Rattus norvegicus: one gene and its partners. The protein of the gene in region 2 purifies or fractionates together with the protein of the main gene of each other region. This does not show direct contact. Links are inferred from orthologs where the notes say so. Each region holds a gene or a part of one and is shown on either strand. Other genes may lie near its edges. The genes, in order: Sdf2l1, Dnajb11 and Sdf2.

What was found.
Region 1: the proteins of Dnajb11 (region 2) and Sdf2l1 purify together in Homo sapiens (affinity purification with mass spectrometry; 3 studies listed by BioGRID and IntAct, counting the BioPlex papers as one, with this or other methods). This does not show direct contact. The link is inferred for Rattus norvegicus from reciprocal best matches to the Homo sapiens genes DNAJB11 and SDF2L1.
Region 3: the proteins of Dnajb11 (region 2) and Sdf2 purify together in Homo sapiens (affinity purification with mass spectrometry; 3 studies listed by BioGRID and IntAct, counting the BioPlex papers as one, with this or other methods). This does not show direct contact. The link is inferred for Rattus norvegicus from reciprocal best matches to the Homo sapiens genes DNAJB11 and SDF2.

What each region holds. Positions count from the first base shown.
Region 1 is NC_086029.1:97,372,863-97,382,756, reverse strand, and holds Sdf2l1 (stromal cell-derived factor 2-like protein 1 precursor), read right to left. Parts: upstream 5,880-9,894; 5' UTR 5,826-5,879; coding exon 5,642-5,825; intron 5,312-5,641; coding exon 5,115-5,311; intron 4,266-5,114; coding exon 3,984-4,265; 3' UTR 3,637-3,983; downstream 1-3,636.
Region 2 is NC_086029.1:91,667,523-91,677,470, reverse strand, and holds the start of Dnajb11 (dnaJ homolog subfamily B member 11 precursor), read left to right. Parts: upstream 1-4,670; 5' UTR 4,671-4,850; coding exon 4,851-4,918; intron 4,919-9,948. Other genes in the region: Tbccd1 (TBCC domain-containing protein 1), read right to left, coding at 4,300-4,355. UniProt on the Homo sapiens protein: As a co-chaperone for HSPA5 it is required for proper folding, trafficking or degradation of proteins.
Region 3 is NC_086028.1:63,634,212-63,643,910, forward strand, and holds the start of Sdf2 (stromal cell-derived factor 2 precursor), read left to right. Parts: upstream 1-4,422; 5' UTR 4,423-4,686; coding exon 4,687-4,861; intron 4,862-9,699.

The DNA of each region.
Region 1 (9,894 bases), about 5.7 Mb from region 2:
GTGAAGGGAAAAATACAGTTTTGCGGCTGGCATCTGTGTTTTAGCCCCAGTTATATCCACGTGAAACAGGAATCTTTTTTTTTTTTTTTCTTTTTTTTCGGAGCTGGGGACTGAACCCAGGGCCTTGCGCTCGCTAGGCAAGCGCTCTTCCGCTGAGCTAAATCCCCAACCCCGTGAAACAGGAATCTTTATACCCAGTTAAAAGGCTGAGAAAAAAAAAAATGTTTAAAGCAGACAGAGCTGGGGCTGGGGTTTAGCTCAGTGGTAGAGCGCTTACCTAGGAAGCGCAAGGCCCTGGGTTCGGTCCCCAGCTCCGAAAAAAAGAACCAAAAAAAAAAAAAAAAAAAAAAAAGCAGACAGAGCTGGTTTTCAATCTTCAGAAACTCATTTTGTCCACTTTATTTTAGATGTAGTGTGTGTGTGTGTGTGTGTGTGTGTGTGTGTGTGTGTGCGCGCGCGCGCACGCGCGCGGGTGTCTGTACCACCATGTACATGACTAGCGTTCAGGGAGATCGAAGGCTTTTCATCCTCTGGAACTGGGACTACAGAGGATTGTAAGGAAGCACATGCATGCTGAAAATGAAACCCGTGTCCTCTGGTAGAGCAACCAATGCTCTTAACACTGACCGGTCATTTCTCGGTCCCTCAGAGCACTGTTTTTTTGAGACATTATATACCACTGGTTAGCCAGGAACTCACTGAGTAGACCAGGCTAGTCTTGTGCTTGTGGTAATCCTCCTGGGTCTTTGTAGTGCTGGGGATGCAGCCACCACACTGTACCTTTCCACACAGATACAAAACACACAGAAATCCCAGCATTCAGGAAGTGGGGAAAAGACCAGCCTGAGTTACATGAAATACTGTGTTTAAGGAGAGGGGCCTCACCAGAAAGAAGGCTCAGTGTTTACAGGGTGGGCTGCTCTACCAGAGGACTCAGGTCCCATGTCAGCATCCACATGTTGTCTCACAAGCATCTGTAACTCCAGTTCCAGAAGTTCTGACTTGCTCTTCTGGTCTCTTAAAGCCATTGCATGCACAGACATATGGGCAGGCAAAACACCCATACACATAAAGATAAAAATCAAATGTAAAATTAAAGTGTCCAGCTGCTGCTCCTCGGATCTTGGTTTGTCGTATTCTATATTCTTCATGGAAGCAACTTTCCTGCTCCAAAATCTTATTGGATACCCAGGACTCCTACCTGCTGTGCACTTGACTTCTTTCCTTAATCCACATTCTAATGCCTCGCTGCTTTCCTGGGTGGACCATAGCAATACCCCCTTGCATGGACAGCATATATCGAGGCTGGAGTGCCCCACCCAAACCCTCTTGGCTCTTCTGCAGAGAGAACAGCCCACTTGTGATTCTGGCTGCTGGAACCCTTATCCAATACATGGAGTAAGAAATACTACAGAACCCAGCCAGCATCCCTCAGCCAATGAGAGATGTTCGCTGGGTGCCTATCCTGGCTTCCATTCCTTTCAGATGGTATGACTTTAGTGAGACTTCCCCCAATAAGACTGAGTGATAGGGTGGACCCTTCCCACAATGCAGCTTCCCCTCAATCAGCCCCACAGCTCTACACATTGTTTACTGAAATCCCCTCCTAATCATCCACTTCCATGTAAATCCTCTCAGAGGAGAGGATTGCAGATTTCTACGTGAAGCTCAAGAGTTTGAGGGCTGGAGAGATCAATTGCATGGCTGTCAAAATCGAGTACTGCTCTTGCAGAGCTGTTAAAATTGAATTGAAATGGGGCTGGAGAGATGGCTCAGTGGTTAAAAGCACTGACTGCTCTTCCAGAGGTCCTGAGTTTAAATCCCAGCAGCCACATGGTGGCTCGCAGCCATCTGGGATCTGATGCCCTTTCTGGTGTGTCCTCAGAGAGCAACAGTACACTCACATACAATAAATAAATCTTTAAAATTTTTTTAGCACCCATACTAGATAGCTCACAGTCATCTGCAATCCCAGCTCCTGGAGATCCAACACCCCTTTCTTACATCTGAGGACACCACATTTGTGTGCATGTTCTCTCTCTCTCTCTCTCTCTCTCTCTCTCTCTCACACACACACACACACACACACACACACACACACACACAATTTAATAAACATTTAAAAGTTTGGCAATACATCCAGGCACAGAGATACACATCTTTTATCCCAGTACCTGGGAGGCAGAGGGTGGATCTCTATGAGTTCACTATGCCAGGTCTATATAGTGAGTTTCAGACCAGCCAGAGTCACATGGTAAGATCTGTCTCAAAAATATAAGTTTGTCAGTGGAAAGACCAGGTCTGTTAGGAATAGGGGAGTGATGGTCCAAGGCATAACTCCCTCCCCTCAGGATTCAAATTAACTGCAGCTTTTCTCTCACCCACTCATTAATAGTCAACTGATTTCCCAAGTCCATGTGATCTCTGTTCTTCTCACACTATCCCAAGTCCCTCCTCCAACTGTCGGCCCAGCCTCTTAGGAGTTTCTGGCCCTCAGGAAATCAACCACTAACTACTAGTACTAATAATCATTCTACTAGTTCCCTGAAGTCCTTATGACCTGCTCAGCCAAGCCCAGGCAGTCTGTCATTTCTTCCACCACCTCTAGAGGCCACACACGCACCACTACAGAGCTGTCAGCTTACTTGGCGTGGGCCCTTCTGTTGGTGTCAGCTTATTTAAACTATATACATTATGTGCATTATTTTACCCAATTTTAGTGTTGGAAATGGGCCCTGTGCCTTGTACATGCTAGAAAATGCTCTCTATAGCTTCAAACATACCAATTACCAACTGTTCCACAACTCAATCCCCTAGTCCTCTGGTCTTGTCTTTAAATTATACAACCTTAACCACCTAGATTGGTTTTGTTGTTGTTGTTTGTTCAGAAGGGGGAGGTTGTCTTCCCTTGAGATGTCCTTTCTTACTCTTTTAAAATTACACGTGTCCCTCTAGGTTTGTGTACACATGTGCAGGAATAAGAGATCTGAACAATCCCTCCTGGAGTTACAGGTTGTAGTTGATAGTCCTCTGAAAGTGCAGTCTGTGCTCATCACCACCGAGTCATCTCTCCTAGCTCTCCTCTTTCCTTAGGGCCTTGGGAGGTCCTAGTGGGGGCTTAATAATGCACCTGGGGCAGGTCAGGGTAAGGAAGTCTGGGAGCCTGAGGTATTAATTTCCACTAGATAGGCAGAATCCTCAACTGGCCTTTAGTGAAAGAAAAGTTTCAAAACTGCCACAACCACCAGAAGAATGGGCTCCTGAGAGCAGGAGATGAGGGAACTGGAGAGCTTGAGCCCCATCCCAGTTGTCAGGGCCCTGCAGCCAAGCCCGTCCAATAGAAACGTTGCCTAAGATCAAGTCCTGGAAATGAGGTTGATTGCTACAAGGACTCTGTAGGGTAGACAGGTGAGATCACAGTTCAGGGCAATATTTTAATGCACGGACAGGTATCCCAAAAAGGTTTGGAACCAGTGAGATGGCTCAGCAGCTAGTGTGTGCTGTGTAATGCTGGCAGGCTGAGTTTGATCTCTGGAGCCAACATGAAGGTAGGAGGTGAGAAGCGACAGAGTTGTTTTCTGACCTCCACGCATCACTGAGGTACAGGTAGCAACATACACACATCTCATGCACTCACACTGTAATAAAAATTAGTTTATTGAACAGGTTGGGGCCAGCTGTGGTCGTATACACCTTTAATACCAGCGCTCAGGAGGCAGAGGCAAGTGGATCTCTGGGAGTTCCAGGCCAGCCAGGGATACATAGTGGGACGGTCTCAAAAATTATTTGAACAGGTACTTGAGACATGTGAGATGATGATGTGGACAGATATGACTAGCACCCTCAGGTCCTCCCCAGGGTACAGCAAAAATAATCACAAACCAACATTCTTTAATCAGAAAGGCACTTGAGGGCCCCTACAGAGTCTTACACAAGAGCAGCCCTGCGGATTCCCACTCAGCCACCCTCCCTTCCCATCCGGCTCAGAGTTCATCGTGACCTGTGGAGGGATCTGCTCCGGGCTTGATGAAGATTCCTTCCATGGCCTTCCACGTGTTGTGTGCATTGGCACTAGGCATGCCATGCACCTCATGCTGCCCACGGATTGGGTTACCATACTGTTCACCAGTAACTGACAGGAACACAGAGGTGCCAACATGCTGGAAACGGACACTGGCCTCTCGCTCCCAGTGTTGCCCAGAACATCGTACTGTCCACAGGTCCAGGTCATCACCCTCACCGTCTTCCCCAAAAGCACTCACCTCCTGAGAGTGTAAGGTATAGAAAGTCACACACAGGGAACAGACTCCCCTGAGCTGCATGTCTAGCTGTAATATGTGCACCTAGTATCCTGGGCCTCTGGTCCTTTCTCTGACATTCAGCACCCACAGCTGAGCAAATGGAAGCCAAGAGTCCTGCCCTAGCCAGGTGTGGTGGCAAATGCCTTTAAGCAGAGCACTCAGGAGGTATAGGCAGGCAGATCTCTGGGTGTTTAAGGCCAACCTGGTCTACATAGTGCATTCTAGGACAGCCAGGGCTACATAGAGAAATCTGTTCTCAAAAAAAAAAAAAAAAAAAAAAAGATTCCCACCCCATGGTAGGTTCTTCAGATGCATAGAGCCTCTTGTATCAGTCGTGTAGTGCCCACTGGCCTTATACCCAAGTTCCCAGGCTAATGGCCAAGTTCCCTATCTCCAATATTTCCCCCTGAAACTCCCCCAAAGCACTGTCAGGTTCTCCCCATAACCCTACCAGACCAGCTGCAATGGGGCCTATGTTTTAGCAGGAGTAGGGATAAGCTCTCACTTCTCTTTCAGACCCAACCTGAGTTTCTCCTTCCTGCAGTTTCCTATTCTTTGCTGTGTGGGTCCCCCTACATGTCCAAATAGGAACTCATCGCACTGACTTCTCTCAATGCTTCTCCTAACTCGGTAGGGGAAGTTCCTTGGGACAGGACCCAGAGCAGAAGCTCTATAAACTTCCGTATATGAACTCCCAATTCACAGTAGCTGAGACTGAATCCCTCCCCCTACATCTCTCCGGCACACCTCCCTCCCGCTGTCATTTGAGTCCCTGCCCTGCGCAGCTTTGGAGGGGTTCGGAACAGGGCTTGCCTGGTTGTTGGATAGCGGTGACGGGAAGTGGTGCGTGTGCAGGTTCTTGCCGGTGAGCACGTGCGTGAGCCGCACTGCCTGCCCACAGCGCACTGGGAGCCCGCGCGGGCACCCACCCTCGGAGCCGCCGCGAATCCGCCAGTAACTATTGGCATCGTCGGACGCCTCCACGCCGGTTACCGACTGTTGGCCGCTGCCTGAAGAGGGACAGCCCACCCCACCCGTAGTTTCTAGTTAATCACAAACCTCCAGACCCTCGACTTGAACACTAAAAAGTTTTCCCCACAGCCCCTTACCACTCCAGGATCCGAAGGGCTCACCCTACCCCAGGCCGGACCCTAAGTGGTGGATACCCCCCACACCGCGCGCGCGCGCGCAACCTCACTCCCCGCGGCTTCTCTGTCAAGACCCAAAAGCCCGTCTAGACTCGCAACCCCTCGGCTCCCTAACAACCCACAGACCCCGCTAGAACCACCTGATCTTTAAGCCTCCGCCCCCTGGCGGTCCCAGTCACCACCCCTGCGCACCGGATCCGTATTTGATGTCATGTGAGTGCAGCCGCACTCTGTGGTGGGTGTTGAGTAGCTTCAGCACTGACCCGCAGGTCACTAGCCCGGCGCTGGCCTTCGACGCGCCACCGCTCCGCACCGAGAGCGCCAGCAGCAGCCCCAGCAGCGTCAGACCCGCTAACCCGCGGCTCGCGCCCAACATCGTGCCGGCCGGCCGGGTTCCAGTTGCTTTGGACCTCGGCGCTTCCGTCCTCAACAGCAGCCAATCCGGCGTTGACAGCGCCCTCCCTCGGCAGCCAATCGTCTGCGCGCGCGCGTTCCTCCTGCACTACTATTGGATCATGTGCAGCAGCCCCACCCCCAGCTTCCAAGGCGGTAGCTGGGAGGGGGCCGGAGACAGCAGGAGGATTTTAACTGGTCCACGCTTCCAAGGACCTGCCAATAAAGCAGTGGCTGAGGCGACCGTCCCCCAGAGGTTGGTTGCCTCTAGTCCCCGTTAGAGATTCTCGGGTGTAGTAGGTACGGGAACCCCTTTGACCCTGGACCCCTACACTTGAGTCGCGTGTCCCTCCTCTCAGAACCCTGGGTAAAGCTACAGACTCTGTGTGAATCACGAGATTTTGTGGTCTCAAAGTGGACAAATAACAAAGTTATTTAAAATCTCCTGGCTCCATGCTTTCTGAATTCTCTTAGCCAAGCAGCTTCTTGAGTCATTTAGTGGCAGAATCCTAAGGTTGCTGGATAAGATAACTGTGAGCCCTCATACATACATACATACATACATACATACATACATACATACACATACATACTTACTACATACACGTACTTACCCACATTCACTCCCTATCTATCTATCTGTCTATCTTTCTCTAGCCAGCCAGCCAGCCACCTAGATGTTAGGTATTCACAAAGGAACTGCCCCTCCAGGCTACATTACTAAGAAGCTGATGATATGTACTTAGGCCACTAGTTACCCACTAAAGTTTATGTTTCAGCTGCAGATGTAGCTCAGCTGACTGAGTGCTTGTCCAGTAAGTGCAAATCCCTGGGTTTGATCATTAGCAAGTCAACCCTCAAGTAGTAGAGGCAGGAAGTTCAAGTCTGAGGTCATCCTCTCTGGAAGGGTGACAGGCAGATCTCAGGTTTCTAAGTAAGCTGTGTCAGAATTGTTAGAATCAAAATAGAATCATTTGTCAAGGCTTTAACCCAAACTAATGTGTTAGGTATGAGGCTGAGAAGGAGGGGGTCCTTGTGCAGGTATGTCTGACAAGAGTAACTTACAGAAGGCTCAGCCAGAAAGACAGCCTTTCACGAAGGCCACCCCAGACTCACAGGAAATCTCTCTGTAAGTACACCTGCCTAGAAACCACCTGCTTTCTGTGGCTGTTGTAAAACACTCAAGCATGGAGGAAGGGCCACTTACAGCTTGCCCGCTTCTTCGTGTGCTCAGATCTTTGTTTTATTTATGTATTTTTCAAGATAGGGTTTCTCTCTGTTTTCTCTCAGGGTCCCAGCTATGGTTGTCCTGGAACTTGCTCTGTAGACTAGGCTGGCCTTGAACCCAAAGATCTTCCTGCCTCTGTCTCCTGAGGGCGAATCCCCACATCAGGTTTCAGTTAGCTTTCTTGGTTCACTGTTGCTTTGTTGGGGTTTTTGGTTTCGTTTGTTTGTTTGTCTTTGAAACAAAGATACACTATGCCGCCCCAGCTGTTCTGGAACTCACTCTGTAGAACTCACAAAAATCTGCCTGCCTCAGCTTCCCAAGTACTAGAACTAAAGATATTCCTCCATTTACCACTATATGCCCAGTCAGCTTTCTTTCTTTTTTTAAAAAATCATTTATTTATTTATTACATATGAGTACACTGTAGCTGTCTTCAGACACACTAGAAGAGGGCATCAGATCCCATTACAGATGGTTGTGAGCCACCACGTGGTTTCTGGGATTTGACCTTGAAAGACCAGCGGGGTGGGGAAGACCCCCCACTCAAATCTTGAGATGACACAACCCCCAAGAACTCACGAGAAATCGGTCTTGATGTAATGAACAAGAGGTGTATTTGAGGAACCAGAGCTCTGGGGACGACACCTATCTCACACAGGAGACAGAGGAGTCGACCCGGAGCCCAATTTGGGGAAAGTATTTATAGGGAAAATTACATAGGTAGTTGGCAACAGTTACACAAAGCAAAGCAATTTCACTGGTTTGTTTACATTGGAGCACATGATCTAGCTTGGGCTCAGTCCAACTCCAGGCCACCCTGCTTCTGGGGCAAGCTGACCCCAACTCTTTTTCCTCAGGACTGGTAAGTCAGGCCTTATTGAGGCCAGGTGGTCTACGGCTAGGCTACTTCCCCATAACATGTGATGTTATTCTTTTGTGAGGTGCACTGGCCCTCACAGCAGGGGTAGTGGGGGATAGTTTAAAAATCTTTATTCTTTGAAATGCAGGACCTCTGGAGGAGCAGTCAGTGCTCTTAACCACTGAGCCATCTCTCCAGCCCAGCCTGGTCAGCTTTCTTATACAACCCAGGACTACCTGCCCAGGGCTGGTCCCTCCTACATCCATTAGGAATCAGGAAAATTCCACAGGCCCATGATGTGAGGTGGTCCCTCAGCTGAGCGTCTCTCTTCAGGTTCATATTCAAGAGCCTCATACTCCCTGTTTGAGCTCAGACTGGTGAAAGACCTCCGGAGAGGACCTTTCCCTCAGGAGGAGACCCCAAGCGCCCAATGACCAAGCCGAGGCCACTCAGATGCAATCAGCAAGAGGGTTTATTGGAAAACACAGGTACCTGCGGGCACACAGTCTCTTCGGAGGACTTGCGCGCCCAGCAGCTCCAGCATGGGCCTTTTATAGGGTTTGGGGAAGCAGAAGCGGGCGTACAGAAGCAGATGCATAGTTACGGGGATTGGTGGATTTAAACGAGGCATATAGACATGTTCACATATGATTGGTTATTTCACATGATGAGGTAATAAGGTATAGCTACACACATTGGCAGGTTTGAATCATATTCGAATGAGGTTGTAACATGGTAAAAGAGTATGTGCGGGCTGGGACGTCCTGAATGTCGGGGGCTAGGGGCTTATCCCTTCCTGCCAGATCCGGTACTCCTAGTCTGTTCTGTATTCCTTTCCTTTTATGGTCTGTTAGTTTTAACGGTGACTCGGCCCTAGGTATCTGGGCGTGCCTGGGCTCGTTCAAGCCTGTTGCAGCTCTGAGTTAAGACTCATGGGGTGGGTCTTTCATTTTCCCCCATTTTCTTTTAGACTTGAGTAAAATCCTTTACTCAAATCGAATTCTAAGGAATCTCTTCCTGTTGTCTTACCCTCTGGTATTGTTGGGTGAGAACAAGCATCTGAATGACTGAGAGTCTGTTCTTTATGAACTGCATCAATCTGTTTAGAATGCAGGGGCCAAAGAGGAGGATTAGGAGGAGGATGATTAAGGGTCCCATCAAGGTGGACACCAGGGTAGCAAACCAAAGGGATCAGTTAAACCACCTCTCGAACCAGCCTTGTTGGGAATCAAACAGCTTCTGTCTCTGGGCCAAGCGATCTCGGAGCTTAGCCATGTTATTTATCTCTCACTAATCCTGTATGGTCTGCATAGAAACAACATTCTTCTTTTAGAGCAGCACATAGCCCTCCTTTGCGAAGGAACAGCATGTCTAGCCCTCTCCTAATTTGTAAGACTACTTCAGACCAAGATGTTAAGGACTTTTCTAATGCACTCACGGATTCCTCGATAGCTTTTAGATCTGCATTCATGGCTGCTTGTAGCTGACGAAAGTGACCCGTCTCGATGAGGGCGGTGGTCCCCGTCCCTATACCTGCAGCCATTCCTCCTAAGGTGATTCCTCCTAAGAGTAGAGCTAGGGTCATGGTGATTGGTTCTCGCCTGAATCGAGTCAGCCCCTCAAAATGTGAGTATATGTACTCGGGCCCATGGTAGGTGACCTTAGGCCAAATTTCTACCAGTACACAGTAGTCTGAGGATCTGCGGAGGATTGCGGCGGAGATACAAGGTGTCAATCCAGTGTTACAGGCCCAATAGGTGCCTGTAGGAGCTGCTAGGTAGTAGCTTCCAGTGGGGATCCTCTTGGTGATAGCGCAGAGGACCTGGTGAGTGGGGGGTATGGTCCCTATACAGAGTCCCTGTCCTGAGACTTCCGGCAACGTCACCCTATGGCTAGGGAGGGTTGTGCAGCTGGCCGGAGCCGTGGTCTGATTAGTATAATTCCCCATGACTGCCACACCCTCAT
Region 2 (9,948 bases):
ATCAGAAAGAATATATATATATTTAAAAAGACATAAAATAGACGCAGACACAGATTATCTCTAGCATAAGAATGGGTGAGTTTAAGACCCCACTCTCACAGGTACACAGACTATCCTGACAACAAATAAACAGATTTCAACAGCATCCTATGCCAAACAGACCTACCAGATATCTACAAGCATCCCACAGTCTTCTCAACATCTCACAGAACATCTAAGATACAGCACATAACAGCACACAAAGTAAGCCTTAACAAATCCAGGAAAACTGAAATAATCTCATGTGTGTAATCTGTCACCAAGAGATAAAACTAGAAACTCAAGAGGAGCTACAGAACACACACACACTAACTCATGGACACTGAACAACAACGGGGAGAGGACAGTCTAGGAGCTATGGCTCAGCTGTCAAGAGCATACACTGCTCTTGCAGAGCACCAACGTCTGGTTCCCAGCACCCATGTGGGTGGCTTACAACCAACTGTAATTCTAGCTCCACGAGATCTCACAGCCTCTTCTGAACTCTGAGAACCCCTGTATTCACACGTTCATATACAAAGACACACACATGCACACATAACTTTAAAATAATAAACCTGACAATCTTTAAATCAATAGACTAGAATAAGATAACCACAACATACCAATGCCTAACACATAATGAAGGCAAGGCGGGAGATGAGAGCACAGTCTCTCTTACTCTTTCAAAGATTTTAATTTACACTTAGTTTGTGTGTGTGTGTTGTGTATGCACAGGTCGTGAGGTGCATGTAGAAGCCAAGGACAAGAGTCAGTTCTCTCTTTCCACCATTTGGGGGGTCAAAAATTGACCTCAGGTAGCCAGACTTGATAGCATACCACCTGAGCCATTTTACCAACCCTCTCCTGTTGTTTGTCTCTTTGTTTTGTGCTACAGACTAGCTGGCCTTCAAGATTTTGCCAGATCCCCTTTCTCTGCCTCCCACCTTGAAGTAGAAATGCTAAGATCACAGATGTGAGGCACCAACGTCTAGCTTTTTAATGAGGGTTTCAAGAATTGAACTCAGGTCCTTAGGTTTGCATGGTAAGCACTTTTCTCCCGCTGAGCATCTCCCTGTAACCAGGAAATAAATGGGTTCTACAAGTAAAGTGCCTACCTGTATTTTAAAAAAAACAGAGACATCACAAATATTTTAAAACTCACTTTAGGGTTTTGGAAAAACCTCAAGTAAGTGGGTGGAAAGTAAGACACCAAACAAGATCACGGTGGCAAGATGACTGCAATGGTCTATTTTTAGCGGTCAACTAGCCAAGCCCAGAGTCATCTGAAATAGTCTCGATTGAGGAATTACCTAGATCAGGTTGGTCCTGTGGCCATGAATGAGGAAGACTGCCTTGATTATTAACTGGCCCATTCCCCGGTCTGGGCTCTGCCCTGTGTACAAGGAGAGAAAGCTAGCAGAATTGTGAGCAAGTAGGCAACATGGGCACTTCTGTTTCTGCTCCTGACTGAATGAGGTATGACCAGCTGCCTCAAACCTTTGACACATTTCAACAATGACACGACTTTTTACCTAACCTAGAACTGAAGGACAAATGAAACCCTTCACCCCCCTGTATTTCTTCCTCCCTTTAGGTTATGTTTACTACAGCAACAGAAATGAATCTAGTACAAAAGCTCGGCACCACTTGCCACCAGGCCTGGCCACCTAACTCCATACTCAGGATTGACAGGCTGGAAGGAGGATGACAGCAGCAAGTTGTCCTCTGACCTCCAAATGCACACCGTGGTGCAGGCGTGTGCCCACACACAAAGTAAACAGGAAACTGAAGGGGGCATAGACATGAATAAAACTGAAATGAAAACCTATGGAGACTCCATGAGATGACGGGATCAACAAACCCTTATCCAACCCAGAGAGAAGCCCTAAATCAACAAAATCAGTGAGTGACGAAAAAAGGAACCATCACAAGATATCAACGGAATTCACATCTTCAGGAAAGCTTAAGAGAAATGGATAATTCCTTCAGGACCACAAAGAGATAAAGAATATAAACAACTGTGTAACAAGCATCAGTACCGAAGCAGTAAAACTAACTCAAAGCAACCACAAAAGCCTCACAACTACAAGGAGCCCAGAGTCGGTTTGAAGAATGGCCCCTAAAGGCTCAGATATTTGAATGCATAGTCACTAGGGAGTGGAACTCTTTGAAAGGAGTAGGATTTGAAAGGATTGTGTCCTTGTTGGAGTAGGTAGTCGGGGGAAAAGTGTCACAGGGGGGTGGGCTTTGAGGCTTCAAAAGGCCATGACAAATAGCTCTAGGTGTGTGCTCTGTGTGTCTCTGTCCCTCCATGCCTCAGTCTGTCTGTGTCTGTCTGTCTGTCTGTCTGTCTGTTTCTCTCTCTCTCTCTCTCTCTCTCTCTCTCTCTCTCTCTCTCTCTCTCTCTCTCTCCCCCAGGGTGTGTCTCTCAGCTACAGCTGAGTGCCTGCCTGCCTGCCACCATGCTCCTGGCCATAACATAATGAATTAAGCCTCTGACATTGTGAGTGAACCCCAATTGAAGGTTTTTTAAAAATAAGAGTTGCCTTGGTCATGGTGTCTCTTCACAGCAAGAGAACAGTGACTAAGACAAGCCCAAATAGCCCAGATAAAATCACTGCAAAAATCCACCTTTAGGAAAAACAGCACTATTTTTCAAAGTATTCCATTAAATAACTTCTTGAAAATGAAGTCAGTTTTGGTCTACTACTAGTACCAAAGACACAGCAAAGAAAAGACAGTTAGAGACCTATCTCCCTAATGAACATGGATGTAAAAATTCTCAATACAACACTTGTAAGCCAGACTCAGAGGTTAAGAACATTTACTGTTCTTCTAGTGGATCTGGATCTGATTCCTAACACCCACATGGCTGCTCATGTCCATCTGCAGTTCCAAGGGATTCACCACCCTCTTCTGGCCTCCTTGAGCAACAGGCATGCATTCCAAAATAAACCTTCTTTTTCTTTTTAATTAGAAAAGGGTTTTTGGCAAAACATCAATGTTTGTTCCAGTACTACTCACAATAGCTACATTACAGGATTAACCTAGGAGTTCAACGGCAACAGAATAAAGGGAATTAAGCCAGTCTCAAAGAAACACATACATGTTTTATCTCATTTGTGGTTCCTAGATTTTATATAGGTAAAGTCATATGTGTGTATATGGCAAAGCCAAACTGCCTAGAGAAACAAAAAGAGTAACAGAACAGAGTGGAAAGGATGAGAGGGCATAATATATGCATTATTCAGTTTGCTTGCACAAGAAAGTACCATATACAGTGAATATACACAATAAGAAAGTTTTAAAAGGAAGAGAGTTGATTTTTCTGGAACATGCTAAGATATTTAATATGTGAGGACATATACCATTAAATTAGACAACCTTGTAAATTACCATAAAGTTAGCTAGCGTTTTACTTTGAGTGCAATGAAGAGCCACTAAAGCTTTTAAGCAGAATGGCATGATTTGACATAATTTTTAAAAAAGTGAGCGGACGCTGGGGACAGTTCAGTCCATGAAGCTTGCCACTTACATGCCATACAAGCAAGGATTCTTGAATACCCCCCCCCCAACCCCGTATAGCAACTGCGACAACAATGTCCTGAAGAGACGGAGACAAGATTTTGAGCTCTCTCGTCCACCAGCCTAGTAATCTGTGATCTCCGGGTTCCCTGGTGTGCTCACGCGTGCACACAATCATAGGGTGGAGAGCAGAATTTTAAAATACTGTATGGAGATATGAAGTTTGGCGGCAGAAAGATCGGTTATACGACCTTTGCGAGCAAGAGATAACTATGACTCGGGTGGAACTATAGTGGATGTGCACCCCGTACGGTTCACTGGTAAAGATCTGAATAGGTTATGCAGGAGGTAAAGCTGAGCAGAGAGGCTTTCCGAAACTAGTTTTCGGAGATAAACAAAACTGGAGAAAAGAACAACCAATGAACAAGCTCTACTCCTAACAATAATAATGCCTTTTATTGATTACATGCTTACTGTGTGCAACTCTGCTAGGAAACTAACAGAAAAAAAATAATTCAATTAATTCCCAACACTGCCAGCGAACGCTTTGCCTTAGTTTTGCCGAAAATAGGTTCGAAAGTGGGATGGGGATGGGGTTGCCTCACCGCTACGGAGTGCTGGAAGCTGAATCTGAACTTAAGTCGGTCTCCACGGCGGCGTCTCTACAAGGTACCAGACCTCTTTTCTACAATATCGAGACTATAATAAGTTTGTACTGTGAGAGCCTATCTCTATGCAAGACGCCCCACGTACTTTGACACCTCCTGGGGTTGCACCTCCGAAAGCAAGCGCGCGTCACGTGTGCACATGGCGTAGTTTCCAGACTGGTAACCACGTAAGGATCTCTCTCAAGCAATTGGTCGGAATCGGGAAGGAACCTCGTGATTGGTGGACATTCCGGTTTCCTACAGCAGCGCGCTCTTTCTCCGCTCCTCTCTCCGGTTCTAAGGCACTTCCGGGCGGCGCGAACCTCTGACGTTTCACTTTCCCATTGGCCGGCGGCCCCCCGGCTGCAGTTCCGTTGTCTGACTGGCTGCCCGCGCCGCCTCGGAGGTGAAGTGTATCGCTCTGATTGGCTGCGGCGTGGCGGCCTCGTGTGATGTCCCAGGCGGCGATTGGCCCACGCCTGGCTGCTCGCCGGCTTTGGGGCTCCCGGAAAGTGGCAGCTGAGGAAGGGGCGCACTACCTGTCTCCGCGGCCAGGCAAGAGAGAGACCCGGGCGTGAGGCGGCCTCCTTGGGCTGGAAAGGCTGGTCAGCCGACGCAGCGGCACGGGAGGCTGAGAGGGTGGGACCAGGGGACACCATGGCCCCGCAGAACCTGAGCACCTTCTGCCTGTTGCTGCTGTACCTCATTGGGGCTGTGATCGCCGGGTGAGCAGGGGGCCTCCCGCGCGGCACGGGGACCGAGGGGGCAGCCTTTGCTGATAGTGACACGGGTGACATCGAGGCGTGAGGGAGGAGCACTGCGGGGCCGAGGGACCGAGGGGTAGTGTGGGTCAGGATGGCCGTCCAGGGCCAGGTTTCCCCGCCCCCGAGAAGAACGGGAGTTGGTTGCAGAGCCAAATACCACGTTTGGGAATTAGAGGGAGTTAAGTGGCTGTGAGCAGTAGTAGGGACACCGACGACTGAGGAATGGGACTCTTGATGGAAATGAAGGTAGTGAGTGCCAAGCTGAGGTTGAAATGATGGATGCGTCCTTGATGCCCGAATTCCAGAGTGGGACAGTTTGCGACAAGCATCTGAGAGGCAGACACTAAAGTAAGGAAGCCGAGCTTAGATTGAGGAAAGCTGGCCTGAGAGAGCAACATAACACTTTAGAGAGTCTTCGTACTCGCAACCTTCTTGGGCTAGCGAATCTGAACTGTCTTCTTGCCTCGCTGTCTCTCTTCATGGTTCCTTCTTGAGCTGGATGGTATGAGTGAGAAGAACAGTTCTCTTAACAGTCAATAAAAACTAGGGTTCTAGCCTCATGCCGCTGTTATGAGTCCTACAAGCATGACGGAACTTTATCAATTTTCTGAAATCGGGGATAACAGTGTGATAACCTTCAGGGAGAAAGAGCAGGCTTAGAGTTTCTCCCAGCATAAAAGACCCGGGGTTGGGGATTTAGCTCAGTGGTAGGGCGCTTGCCTAGGAAGCGCAAGGCCCTGGGTTCAATCCCCAGCTCCGAAAAAAAGAACCAAAAAAAAAAAAAAAATGCAAGACCCAGTAGTTCTGATGACTTAGGATATGGTATATTGGACTTGTGTGTGACCTGCACCGTTAGTCCCTGCTTTGGGCGCATGAAAACCGGTGGATCAGAACCCCAGATCATTTTCAACTACCGAGTGAGCTCCAGGCTTGCCTGGCCTATGTCACACCCCCTCTCAAATAAATAAGTAACCACAGAAATAAAACACACCAAAAGCTCGTAGATGTCAGCTTTTGACAATTTATAGGTTGTTCACAATGCTTAGCATAGCTTTTAAAGTTGCTTTCTTTATGGGGTTTTTCTTTTTTTTCTTTTAAATGTTATCATTATTTCCTTGTGGTATACTTTAAATTTCTAAAAAGTTAACATTTCTTACATATGCTTTGTTGTTTTTTTTTCCTTGTTTGACTGAACCACAAGTACCCAAGGTATTTAATAAAACATCAAGGTAAAATTTTGCGGTTGGGAGTTGAGGTGTGCTGGTCTCCAACTCAATATGTAGCTAAAGATCACCTTGAACTCCTTCATGATCCTTCAGCCTTCACTTCCCAAGTGTTAGGATTGCAGGCATGAATGACCATGCCTGGCAAATGCTAGTATTTTTGATACTATAGCTTTAAACGTCAGTCATTCATAAAGCAGCCTCTGGGGAGAATGATGTTGACACTGAACTGTGTCACACACCCCCTCCCCTTTTCTCTTGTATTTTTCTGAGCTGTCATTTAACCTATTCCCTCTTAAATCTTTTACTTGTTCTCATACACATACATATATAACCCCCCCCAAAATGCTTGCTCTGGGCACACCCCAATATGTTCCCTTTCTAACTTCATGCAAGTGTGAGTCCAGTTAATCAGTGCTGCCCGCTGGCATGGTGACTAATTGTGTTGGCTTGCTCTCTCGAAGGTCTTGTTCAGGTAATCATAACTTGAGTGAATTCATGAGTACCATTTGCAGAAGACAGAATTTCACAACACTCTTCCCCATCCTCTGCCTTCACATTCTTTCTGTTCCTCCTTCCCCTGAACCTTGGGGAGTGTGGGAGAGGGGTGGAAGGTTGAAATACTTGTTTTGAGACTGATCTCTCAATACTCATTTACATTCTCCATGCTTTTTGAACAGTTATTCTGATGCATTAACTACTGCCCCTGTAGAGGAACTACTGCCTCTCTGTGCAAGATTGAGAATGGCATGAATATAACAACATATATATATATATATATATATATATATATATATATATATATATATATGGCATACTTATGTTACAGTCCTATATATTTCCATATATAGTCATATAATCTATGAATATAATCTGAATATTTCCAAGGCAGTTTGATAACATGTCTACTTAACGAAACAACAGCAGTTAGTTCCCTCTCCCCCAGGGCCTGTGGTCCCCCAGGCCAGGACTTCCAGACAGTTTTATATTATTAGATTTAAATTTACTCCTGTGGAGCAGGTCTTAAATCCAATCAAAAAGCAGTAGGTTAACCCCATAACCTTTCTGCCTCTGTTGTACCAGAGGTGCATCTTGCCCACTTAGTCAGCATTGGGGACTTTTCTCAACAAGCAGCCTGCATAACGCCTTCTAGCACTGTGAAAACTGGCGAGGGGGGAGCAATGACAATGGCCTCTGTTGTTTTGGGAGCCTCCCTGACTTACAGTAACTCATAGGGAGGTTTCCCACCCCTGGCACTGAGATTTTTGCATTATATGTGCATAGAATCTATGTATTCTAAGGGAAGCATCCACTCATGCGAGGTACCTGTGTTCAGAATCCTTTGTCTCTGCTTGTCTCTCCATCTGTCTCGCTCTAAGATTTTATTTTTAAGTACATGTGTATGTGTATGTATATATGTTTGTGTGTATATGTTTGTATGCATATGTGTGGGCATGGACCTGTAAGTGCAGGTGCCCATGGAAGCAAGAAAGGGTGTTAACTTCCCTGGATCTGGAGTTTCAATTGCATGCAAGTCACCATGCGTGCTGAAAGCTGGATTCAGCTCCCCTGTAAGAGAAATAGGAACCTTGGGGTGGGGGTGGGGTGGGGGTGGGGGTGGGGGGTTTTATGTAGGTTTTGAATCAGCTTGAAAAGTAGTGGCTCTCCTTTAATTGGATTCTTTTAACATCCTTAGTTTCGTGTAACCCACTCCTCTCCAGAATTGGAGTGTTGTGTGAGCCTCACTCTGTGTTGTTAGCCGTTTTTGTCATTAGAAGGCTGATTCCTAGCATGAGATGTCAAGACTTTAGAGATGAGGTCGACTTCCTGGGGGTGATAAATGTTAAAAATGCTGTAGTTGAGCTGGGACCCAGCACGTGGGAGGCTGAGGCAGGCAGATCTCTAGTTTGAGGCCAGCCTAGTCTACAGAGTGAATTCCAGGACAGGCGGGACAACAGAAAAACCCTGTATTGGAAAAAACAAAAACTTGTGTATAGGTGAGCTGAATATGACTTTATATGTCTGTAAATTCAGCATTTGAGAGGTAGAGGCGGGAAGATCAGGAGTTCAAAACAAACTTCAGATACATAGTGAGTTCAAGGCCAGTCTGAGCTACATGAGGACCTGTCTAAGAAAACCAACCCAGAAACCTAACAGAGTGATTAAAATAACTAAATTACTGTTGGAAAGTGTGACCAGGAGTTTATGAAATAACCCCAACCTTCTGAGTGCTGGAATTATAGGCATGCGACATCAGGAATCCAGGACTTCATGGATTTAAAGCAGGCACTGTCACTGAGCCACGTGCCAGCCATAAAATGTATTTTTTAATATTCTGCCTTATGTCTTGGCTCCCGGTTCATTTCCCCATACATTTTTAAATTATCCGCCATGCTATGTCAGCCTCTATTATATGAGTTCCCTAGCCCCATTGTTGAGATAATATTTTTAGGTTCTATTCTAGTTTTAGGTTTGAATTCTAGTGGTTGAACTTCTGGCAAAAAGAGATGTGAGCATTCTTATATGTTCACCTTACTCAGAGGGCATTTACTGGCCTCTTCAATGAGCTGGGTACGGCCCTTGCCTGGAATGCTTTTTATAGTCTCACTCTAGCTTTCTCCCAACACTTCTTGCAGAGAAAGAACCCTTTTATGGTTGATTCAGCATAGCTCCTGGCAATATTCCCTTATTTTATGCCCTAATTTATATCATATGAATATTCTCAACTACAGTGATACAGAGGCTCCTGCGTGTGGACTTTAGAAGATGTCTGTCATAAAGACTTGATCCTAACAGATTAGCATAGTTACTGGCAATGAATGCATAAAATGTATTTTTCTCCCAGCATATACCATAATCATTGCATCCAGATGTGTGCTATTTTCCCTTCAGGTTTATTATTTGGAGTTTGCTTAATCTTTATGAACTCCTTAGGCCAGTCCATCTTTAATGTCCAAAAGTGCTTCTATTTAGGACATGTATGTGATGTAATCTTTGTGAATAAGGATAACTTTCTTTTTTAATCATTTGACCCTTAGAAACAGGTAAAAGTCACTGGGGTGGGGCTGGAGAGAAGGCTCAGCAGGTAAGGGCTCTTGCTGCTCTTAGTGGAGGACCCCAGCACCCACGCGGTGACTCACAGCCACCTGTAACTACACATCCAGGGAGCCAGCTTTAACTGACACCGAGGGACCTGCACTCACACCCACACATGAGCTCATAATTAAAAATAAAATAAATTCTCTTTTAAAAAAGTATTTGGAGCAAGAATAGGGAGTAAAGAGGGAGCCAATTGGACTGTTTGGTTGTTAGCTGGAAATAGCATGGAGCTATAAAGCAAAGGAAAAGTTTCTCTGCGGAAGGTAATTCTAAAAGAAGAGTGCCGCCCGTCCTGTACATATTTTTGAATTACCTCCAAATCATAGTCCCGTTATGATTATTTCTGTACCTAAGACTATAAATCCTGGCGTGTCCCTTTTTTGTTCATTGTTTTATATATGTGCACATGTCACATATTCCTTTGTCTTTATCCTTCCGTGCTTTTATAGTTGGACTTAACTGCAAAGGGAGATAATGTAATGCACCCTGGGAGATGATAATTCAGCTGTTAAGAGCACGTGTGTTCTTACAGAGGACTCCATTCAGTTCCGGCACCCACATCAGGCAGCTCACAACTTCCAAGGTTCTTTTCTGCTTCTACAGGCATCTGCATGTGGTACACAGGTGCGCGCGCGCGCGCACACACACACACACACACACACACACACA
Region 3 (9,699 bases), on a different chromosome or scaffold from region 2:
AATTAGAGATAAAGCACGCACTGTGCTATCCCTGTGGAATGCTTCCAGTCTAGCTAGCTCAGTGCTACAACTTTCAGTTGAGAGAGGCGTGCCAGAAGCAATCATGACTTCCTGTCAGCCATAGCCAGATTCACAGAGTGCTGCATCAGCACTGCAGGCTGAGGATGTCAAGCAGCAGCGATTCCAGAGTGGACCAAGCATCACCTGTGCATGCAGCATTATTAACAGGAGGGGTATGGGATGGGCTGATGGCAGCTTTGACTTTTGTACTTAGTACTCACAGGCTTCAAATTAAAGATTGTGAGTTAAATCTGTATCTGGAATAGGCTTTGAAGAAGAACAGTGGCAGGCAGAGGGAGGTTTCTCCAGGAGAAGCCCGCTGCAGTATAATATGTGGCTCAGAGGGAAAGGGTGCTGGTTACCATGACAACTCTGCAAGAGTACTAGAGCTGGGATCAGATTGCCACAGGGGAGGACTCAGCAGTCCCTCCTTTCCAACCAGAACTAGTAGGAGGCAATTAAGAGGAGACCGGGCTGAAGAGAGAATTAGTCTGTTAACTCCTTTTGTTTTGAAGCTTCAAGGAATATTTAGATTGTGCTTGTTTGTTTTAGGGTCATACTCTGTTCTGGGTCTTGGTGCGTAAAACTGAATGTAGTATGTTTCCTCACTGGTGGAGTTCATAATTTTCATAAATTACATTATGGTAAAACACAAATGAGGGTGGATTATATCTCAGTGATAAGACAGGACATTTGTATACCATGCACAAAACTCTTTGAAACAAAATCCAGTAATTAGTGATGAGAACAATACGCTGACAGAAGGCCTGGACTTCAGAAAGGGATGCCTGAGTGAGCAGGCCTGGAGTACCTTCCCACTTCTGGGGTGCTTAATCAACTAAAGAAGGTGGGGGGGGGCAGGATTAAGGCAACATGAGCAAAACACTTAAGTTTATAGCCCATCTAGTCTGCTGTGGAGTTTAACACATTCTGCTACTGTGAACTAAGTTCAGGCTTATTTCAAAGGTACCAGTAAGTGACTATTCATTTGGAATGCAAAAACCTTAACGTCAAAAACAAAAGTCTCAGAACCTAGCTACATTTTAAAAAATTCTGATCTCAGAACTTCTTATGAAAAACCTAATTATAGGAAATTAAGGTATTTAAAATATAAGCTGGGGGCTGGTTAGATAGTTCAGCAGGCAGAAATGTTGGTCATGCAAGCCTGATGACCTCAATCAGACCCCCAAACACACAGAAAGGTAGAAGAGCTAACCCACAAAGCTATCCTTGGGCTTCCACATACAGGTGTGCTCACGCCTACAAAACAATCCACACTCTCTCTCTTAGGTATAGAACCCCAAGTCTCCAGCACTTGGCAAAACTTCAAGTTAGAAGCAAACATGGGCTACACACGGAGACCCTGTGGCAAACTAATAAGAGGACCATGAGATCTTCTAATAGAGAACTCAATCTGGTTTTGAAAAAGTGCATTCAAATAGACTTAGGCGGGAGCCAGGCATGATGGTACACACCTTTAATCCCTGGACTCAGGAGGCAGAGGCAGGCAGATGAAGGGGAGCCTCATCTACAGAGTGAGGAGTGATCAGCAGAGGGTAGGAACGACTGCTTGGAGAGACAGCTGGTTGAGGTGTGGAGTGCCTTCTACATAGCATGCATGACCTAGGCAGCAACAGAGGAAGTCAGTCTGACCAGAGAGAGGAAGGGGGATGTGAAGAAGGCTTAAGGATCTTCAAAGACTGTATGGGAATCTGAGTGGAAACTAAGGAGCTTGGATCCAGGACTTATGGGCAGTATCCTGCTAGGGTTCAGTATTGGTTTGATTAGTATGATTATATTTTTAACTTTAACCTTTGGGGAATGAAGAACTACCAGTATGCCTAAGAAGTAAGCAGCACAGTTTTGGAAAAAAGTTGATGCAAACCCCCCCTCTAGCCCCCCCCCCCCCCCCCCGCAAAGGCCAGGGAGATGACTCAGCCAGCAAAGTGACTGCCACACAAACTGCACACAGAAGGACTACATTAAAATGCAGTAATGTTTTTAAGACTAAAAAGGAGGCGTTAGCTCAGTAGAGAAAAATCCAAGGACAGAGCATTAGCAACTGTACTGACTATTCCAGAGACTCAGAAATGAAAACAGAGTTTCCATTGGATTTGGCAACATAGTAGCTTCTGGTGACCATATCAACTTTGATGAGCAGTTAGAAGGGGAGTCAGATTGGTTTTAACTTAAGCTTCGGTGAAAGTTAAGAAAGTTGAACTGGTTTATAAGCTGAAACCTGACTATAGGATGAGAATTTAAAAATTAGGGTGATGGAGCTAGGCTTAGTAGTAGCACATGTTAATCCTTCTAGCACTGGGCAGGCTGAGGGCAGAGTGACCAAGAGTCCTAGGTCAGCCTATGTGTCAAGAAAGATGATGGCTGGAGTGGCCTTTGAAAGATATTAGGACATAATTTTGTTTTTGAGTTCTTTGAAACAGGTTTTGGTGACTTGAATTGGGAAATCACTGGAAGGAAGTCAGTGGTCATACCCAACCAAGACCGTGGTTGGTGACATTTATTAGGACCAAGAATACTGCTGGATGGTGGTGGCACAAGCCTTTAGTCCCCAGTTCTCAGGAAGCAGAGGCAGGCAGATCTCTGTGAGTACAAGGACAACTAGGAAGAGTGCTCCTGTCTTCAGAAACAAAAAAGAACTGGAGAGGGTAATATAAACTTTGACCGAATGTCAGGACTGTTCTACTTTATGGTGAGATTAATCACGTGGTAAGAGTAAGTGCATTTGGAGAGTATGGATACTTTGCCAATCTAATCTGATCTAATAGCCACACATGCCAACCAAATAAAATAAGGTGGTAGTAGTGGTGGGACACTAGGCATGGAGAGGAGCTCTAAATTCATGGTTGAGGAGAGAGCTGTTTTTCTTTGAGACAGGGTCTCAAACACAGCCAAAACTTCAATTCCATGATCCTCCTGGCTCAGCTTCTCAATTGTTGCTATAATTGTTTTGTAATTAAAAACACTGAAGATTTAAAAACTGTCAAGTTCAGTGTTCAACAATGGAACTGAACTTTCCCTCCCCAAAATTAATTAAATTCAACAAATTCCCCACAATGTAGCATCTTTCACTGCTGGGGAGGGGGCCAGGCTCCTTCCCTTCCTGCAGATTTACAGGCAGTTAACGGTTGCTAGGGGGGAGGGGCTCATCACGAGATCCCACCAATCCTAAGGATTTACAGTAATTCATTGTTGCTGGGGGGAGGGGAACATTTTCTTTAGGGTTGTAGTCCAGGCTTCTCTGAGTAATTCTTCACCAATGTACTTGTAAATAACCATAATTTAGCTAATGGAGGCATACACACATAATGAACGCAATGGAGGATTGTGAAGAAGGGGGTCAGCGGGAATGGAGCGGGGTGGAGGAGGAAAAAACAAATTACCCTATAACTTTTGATATTACGGTGACATTTCATGTAATTATTATAGGAAACCTGCCTCCTAAAGGAAAACAGGCGTCAATTTTTTCTGTAACACAGGGAAACTGCTTTACTTAGATATTTTGAACGCCTGATGTCAAGCAAGAATACACATTTCTGATTTAACAACCAATTCTAATATTTATGGTAGGTCTTTGGAAAGTGTTCGAGGAAATGAATTATGCAGGATGGAAGGCTCCAGGTACTTAAGTATAAACTCGCATCTTTTGAAAGTATTAAGGGACTTGCCCATCCGTGGGGGGTAAAAAGTTCAATTACTCAACAGTTTTAAAAGAGCTAACATTCAGCACAGTACACCGGCCTCATGGCTGAACCATAGTAAGCCCGGCAGGATCCAACGCCCGGACTAATTAATCCGATCACCTGATGCCAAGTAAAGAAACCCTTAGGTCTCTTCTAGTCCAATTTTTTTTTTTTTTTTTTTTTTTTTTTTTGGCGTGGCCCAGATTCCTGACGCCGCGGAGAAGATGGGATCCCAGAAAGCCTGTTGATTCAAGAGGCAACCCCAGGTCACAGGTTCCGGGTGGTACCGCGTGGAGAAAGGGCTGGAAACTCTGAGTAATCACGGCACTTTAATGTCCTTTTTTCCCCGGCAGATCAGGGAAGGCCAGGGCCCCCTTCCTTTCCGCAGTGAGCACCCCAAAGCCTCTTCCCTTATGGGACCAGGCCCCAGGAGTCTGCTCGCCACCTGCGCACACACACACGCAACACACTCTTCAGGCTGAGCTTTACCTGCTTGGAAGGCCGCTGTTTCTCCGCTGCGCTAAGCCCCCGCGGAAGAAAATGGAGTCGCCGATCCGAGACTGCAAAAGGGTAGCCCGGACCCACCGCAAGGGCCCTCCGCAGCCGCCGCCACCACCACCGTCGCCGCTGCTGCGTTAACGTCCTACGTCACCTCCGGCTCCCTGTCACTAGGAGTGGGAGGGTCATTTCCTGATCTTTTTCTCTCCGGTGTCTAGGGCTTTGGTTCCGAGTCCGCGAACGCAGACTGAAGACACATAAGGAACGCAGCTGCCACAGAGCACCCAGAACAAAGCGGGGCCAGCGTGTTCCTTAAGCCGCTCTAGCCAAAGGAACCATAAAGATTCAGGTTAAGGAGTCTTCACTTCCATCTTGGCGTAGTTCTGCCCTTGGCTTCCGGTTCCGGGGAAGGGCCTAATTTTCTTGGATGATTAGGGCTCTCGGATCTAGGATGGCTGTCTTGTCGCTTCTGTTGTTGGGTGGTTTGTGGAGCGCTGTGGGAGCGTCCAACATGGCTGTCGTTACTTGCGGCTCCGTGGTGAAGCTACTCAATATACGCCACAATGTCCGACTGCACTCTCACGACGTGCGCTACGGGTCAGGTACAGAGGGGGACCAACCGGGGTTGGGTGGGCTGCTTGGGCCCGGTGAGCCTAGAAGGGGCGGGGCCTCTGGCTCTGAGGGCGTGGTCTTGGAAAGTTGAAGAGGAGGAGGCGTTGCCAAGGAAACTTAGTCCTAATATTAATTTCTGTTTGATGAGCTGATGAGCTATGTGCCAAACGTGTTACATATTTACTTTCCAGTTTTTAACATTGTATTGAGGATAGATACTAAGGTTACTTTCTTAGGTGAATAAACAGACTCAGAGATATTACTCAGCCGTCAGCTAATGAATGATGGAGGCAGGGTTTAATCCAAGTCTGTCCAGGTTCAAACCTTTCAGATTCCATGGGCTGCCACTATTCTGTGCTGGAGAGGAACATTTAGAGCAGGACAACACACGCTGAATCTCAGATTTTAAACTTGAAGAGCTCACTCTGATTACAGCCCTTTGACACATTTTTTTAAATTACTTAGCAGTAACTTCCTTGTAAAAAATGTAAGCGTTGACAGGCATTGCAGAGGAAAGTGCTTTTTATCGTGTGCAATTAAAATTCTCAGTTATTTGGGGGCTCATTCATTTGGCCTAGATTTAAAGAGCTCTTTTATTTACCTAGTATTGTTCTAGACACAGGAAATACAGTAGTGAGTCAAACAATAAAACAAGACTAATGGGCAGGCGTGGTGGCCTAGATCTGTAACCATAGCATTCTGAAGTCTGAAGCAGGAGGATCAGGATCATGACTTCAAGATCAGCCTGGCCTATATAGTAGGGGCTGTCTCAAAACAACAACAAAAGAAGTTCAAAGGCTGGGTGTTAAGAGTATGCCAAGCATACTGAAAGGCCCCAGCTTCTGCCTCCACATTTTGTGGGAATAAAAGTAATGAAGTTCTTGAGGTGTACTCAAGATAACTTGAATGACTGATGATCCTATTTGCTAGAAAGGAAGTCACCTTCTAAGATGGTTGCTTAGTCTGTGTTCGCAACTCTCAAAACCTGTCCTTCCAGTTTAGTCCAGGGAGTGTATAGTCTTTATATTCCTAGCCACCTCATTCAGTAAACACCTACATGTGTCAGGCTTACTACATTTTAATTTAATGTTTCCTGCTTTGGGTCCACCAAGTTAAAATGGCGTTAGAGAGAAGTCTACCAGACTTCAAACCTCTACAGGTGGTCCCTAGGGGTGGGCCATTGTTCATTCTGAACCTTAGGAGAAGAATCTGTGATACAGAGTTAGATACAATATTCTTTTAAAAATTTGGCTTGTTTGTTTGTGGCTAGAGACAGTCTCTCTAGCCCTGGCTGTCCTAGGCTTGGAACTCAATATGTGATCTGACCGACCTTGAATGCACAGAGGTCCTACCTCTGCCTCCCAAATGCTACAATGAAAGGCTTTAATTTTTTTTTTAATAGCATTTATCTTGTGTGTGTGTGTGTGTATTTAGATGCATGGTTGCCACAGTACAAATGTGGAGATCAGAGAAGAACATTGTTCTGTCCTTGTCATGTGAGTCCTAGGGATTGAACTAAGATTAGCTGAGCCATGTTATAGCCCAGATACAATTTTCTTGTTTAGAAAATGGTTGAAGATACATGAGTAGATCAGATTGCTCAGCATGAGCTATATGGTTCTCAATCTGAAAACTAACAGTTAATGTTTCTTAAATTACTATATCTGGATCTCCAAGTATTTAGGAACAGATCAAAGGCCAAATAGAATTCTGGACATTCCTAGGTATCAGGAGGTCTCTGGAGGAAGTAGAGGATTGAAAAAGTAAAAGGGCTGGGGAGATGGCTCAGAGGTCAAGAGCACTGTGCTTCCAGAGGTCCTGAGTTCAAATCCCACCAACCACATGGTGACTCACAACCATCTGTAATGGGATCCGATGCCCTCTTCTGGTGTGTCTAAAGACAGCTACAGTGTACAGTGTACTTACATATAATAAATAAATAAATTTTAAAAAAGAAAAGAAAGTGAAAAATCAAAGAGACAATCAAAATATAGAAAACAGTGCTGGAGAGGTGGCTCAGTGGTTAAGAGTACTTCCATAGGTCCTGAGTTCAATTCCCAGCAACCTCATGGGGCTTCACAACCATCAGTAATGGGATTCGATGCCCTCTTCTGGTGTGTCTGAAGACAGCTACAGTATACTCATATACATAAAATTAATAAATATATCATTAAAAAAAGTATTTGATGCTCTTGCAAAGAATCCATGTTCCAGTCCCAGCATCCACATGGTGGTTATCTAACTCTAATTCCAAGGGATCTGACTCCTTCTGACCTGTGGGCACAAGAATGCATCTGGTGTTCAGACAGGCAAAATACATAAAAAGATGAATAAGTCTAATAAAAATAGTTTCTTCCGGGCAGTGGTGGCTCATGCCTTTAATCTCAGCACTGGGAAGGCAGAGGAAGGCAAATCTCTGAGTTCCAAGCCAGCCAGGCTACATAGAGAAACCCTGTCTTGAAAAAAAACAAATAACAACAAAATGTTTCTTTAAATGTATAGAACAGGACTGAATTCTGATGGAGCTGAAAGGCGATAAGAAGTGGGAAGAGCTGAACCAGGTGCCATAAAAGCAGATGGAGCTCCATGAGTTCTAGGCCAGCCTAGTTAGTCTACATAGGAAATTCCAGGCCTGCCAAGGCTACCCAGGTCAGACCCCGTCTCAAAATATAAAATTAAAAAACAAACAAACAAACAAACAAACCAACCAGAGTTTAAAAGATGTAACAATGACATGGGTTGAATGGAATAAGCCTGGGAAAGGGACTGATTGCTTGGTCCGTTTATCAGATCATTAGTTCAAAGCCTGAGGTTTTGTTATTTGGTGAAGTCAGGCAGGGCATTGGAAGTGAAAGGCCATCTAGGAGGGAAAGTATCTCTGGAGTAAGTAGACTGTAAGAATTTGACAGAAAATAGAATGGAGAAGACGCCCTTTGGACATGATGTGTTAGAAGAGGAAATGCTCTAGAGTCAGGTTACCTGCCTCAGGCTTAGCCCAGTCATAGCTCCATGACTTTGGGTATATTACTCACCCTTTCTAACACTCCAGTATAAAGTAGGGACAGTAACAGTAGCTATCTGGGAATAAAATGCCTTCGTTATGGAGAATGAATATTTAAGTAGGGCAGGAGAGCTTTAGTCTTACTATTCAGGAGACAGAAAGAGACAGGATCTCTGAGGTCAGCAGCTCTACCTAGTGAATTTCAGGCAAGCCAGTGCTACACAGTGAGACACTGTCTCAACAAACAAAAATCTATCTTAGCAGCTGGGCTGTGGTGGTCCATTCCTTTAGGAGGCAGAAGATCTCTTTGAGTTCCAGGCCAGCCTAGCAGAGCAACTTCCAGGACAGCCAGGGCTAGGGAAACCCTGTCTCAAAAAAACAAACAAACGGGGTTGGGGATTTAGCTCAGTGGTAGAGCGCTTGCCTAACAAGCGCAAGGCCCTGGGTTCGGTCCCCAGCTCCGAAAAAAAGGAAAAAAAAAACAAAAAAAATAAAAATAAATAAACCAAATCATTTAAATGAAGAACTTGGATTAGCCCTCTTGGGGGGATGGTTTTGTACACCATATATTCAGATGCTAATTTCCATGCCCAGACATCTGGTTGCAGTCCTCCAGTTTCAATGTTATGTAAAAATTGTTTTCCATCACCTCTGATTGGTTAATAGAGAGCTGGTTCAGCCAATAACTGGGCAGAAAAAAGAGAGAAGGCAGGACTTCCTATCCCAGTCAAGGGGTCCCAAAGAGGAGTGGGGGGGGGGGGAGCAGAAGGTATGAAGAGACCACAAGGAGGGACCAGGAAGAGTGGCCATGAGAACGCTCTTGGAGCAGAGTGAGCCTGAGTAAGACTTGGATCACAGGTGAAAGACCACAAGGCTGGGAAGTAGCTAAGTTAGCATAGTAGAATAGATGACATTCTGCCTAGTTAAAGGCTTGCAGTCTTTTAATAAATTTATTAGGATCCATGTCATTTATTCAGGAACTAAAAAGGACTAGAGTGGATGAAGAAACACCTGTCCTTATTTGGGAGCAAGAGGGGCAGAGCAAATCCGCTGATTACTTTTACATAGCCCCATACCTGGTGACAGTGCGTTTTCCTTTAAGAGCTACGGCTACACATTTTACTAAGTGTTTTCACCATGAAGAGTTATATAATCTTAGTATGGCTACAAATTCATGTGATCTAAGAATATTTTATTCCTGGCTTTTTGAGACAAGGTTTTACTATACAGTCCTAACTGGCATAAAACTTGCCAGAGGACAGCTTGGGACATGCTGGCGGTCTCCTGCTACCTCGGATCTTCAGGATTGAACTCAAGTATAACATCAAATACCTTTAACCTCTCAGCCAAGTCATTGTCTCTTTTTATGCTTTAACATTTTTTTAATTAATTTAGATTTGTGTATGCACTAGGCGTGGTGACACACACCTTTAGCCCCAGCTCTCAGGAGGTAGAGGTAGGCAGATCTCTTAAGTTCAAGGCCAGCAGCCTGGTCTACATATGAAGCTCTAGGAGCTGGGACTACATAGAGAGACCCTGTTTTTAAAAAAGAAAATTTGTATCTGTGTGTGTATGTGCATGTACTCTTGTTTTTTCAAGATGATTTCTTTGTGTTAGTGAGCGAGTCCTGGCTGTCCTGGAGCTCACAGACATCTGTCTGCCTCTGCCTCCCTGTGCCACCATGCCTGACTCCCTTTACACTCTTTACCTGGTTTATGGAACTCCATGTTTGGTTGTTAGGCTAGTGTGGCTAGTAACTTTTTCCCACTAAGCCATCTCCCTGGCCTACCTCTGTGTTTTGGGGCACAATCTGTCGCAGACACCTGG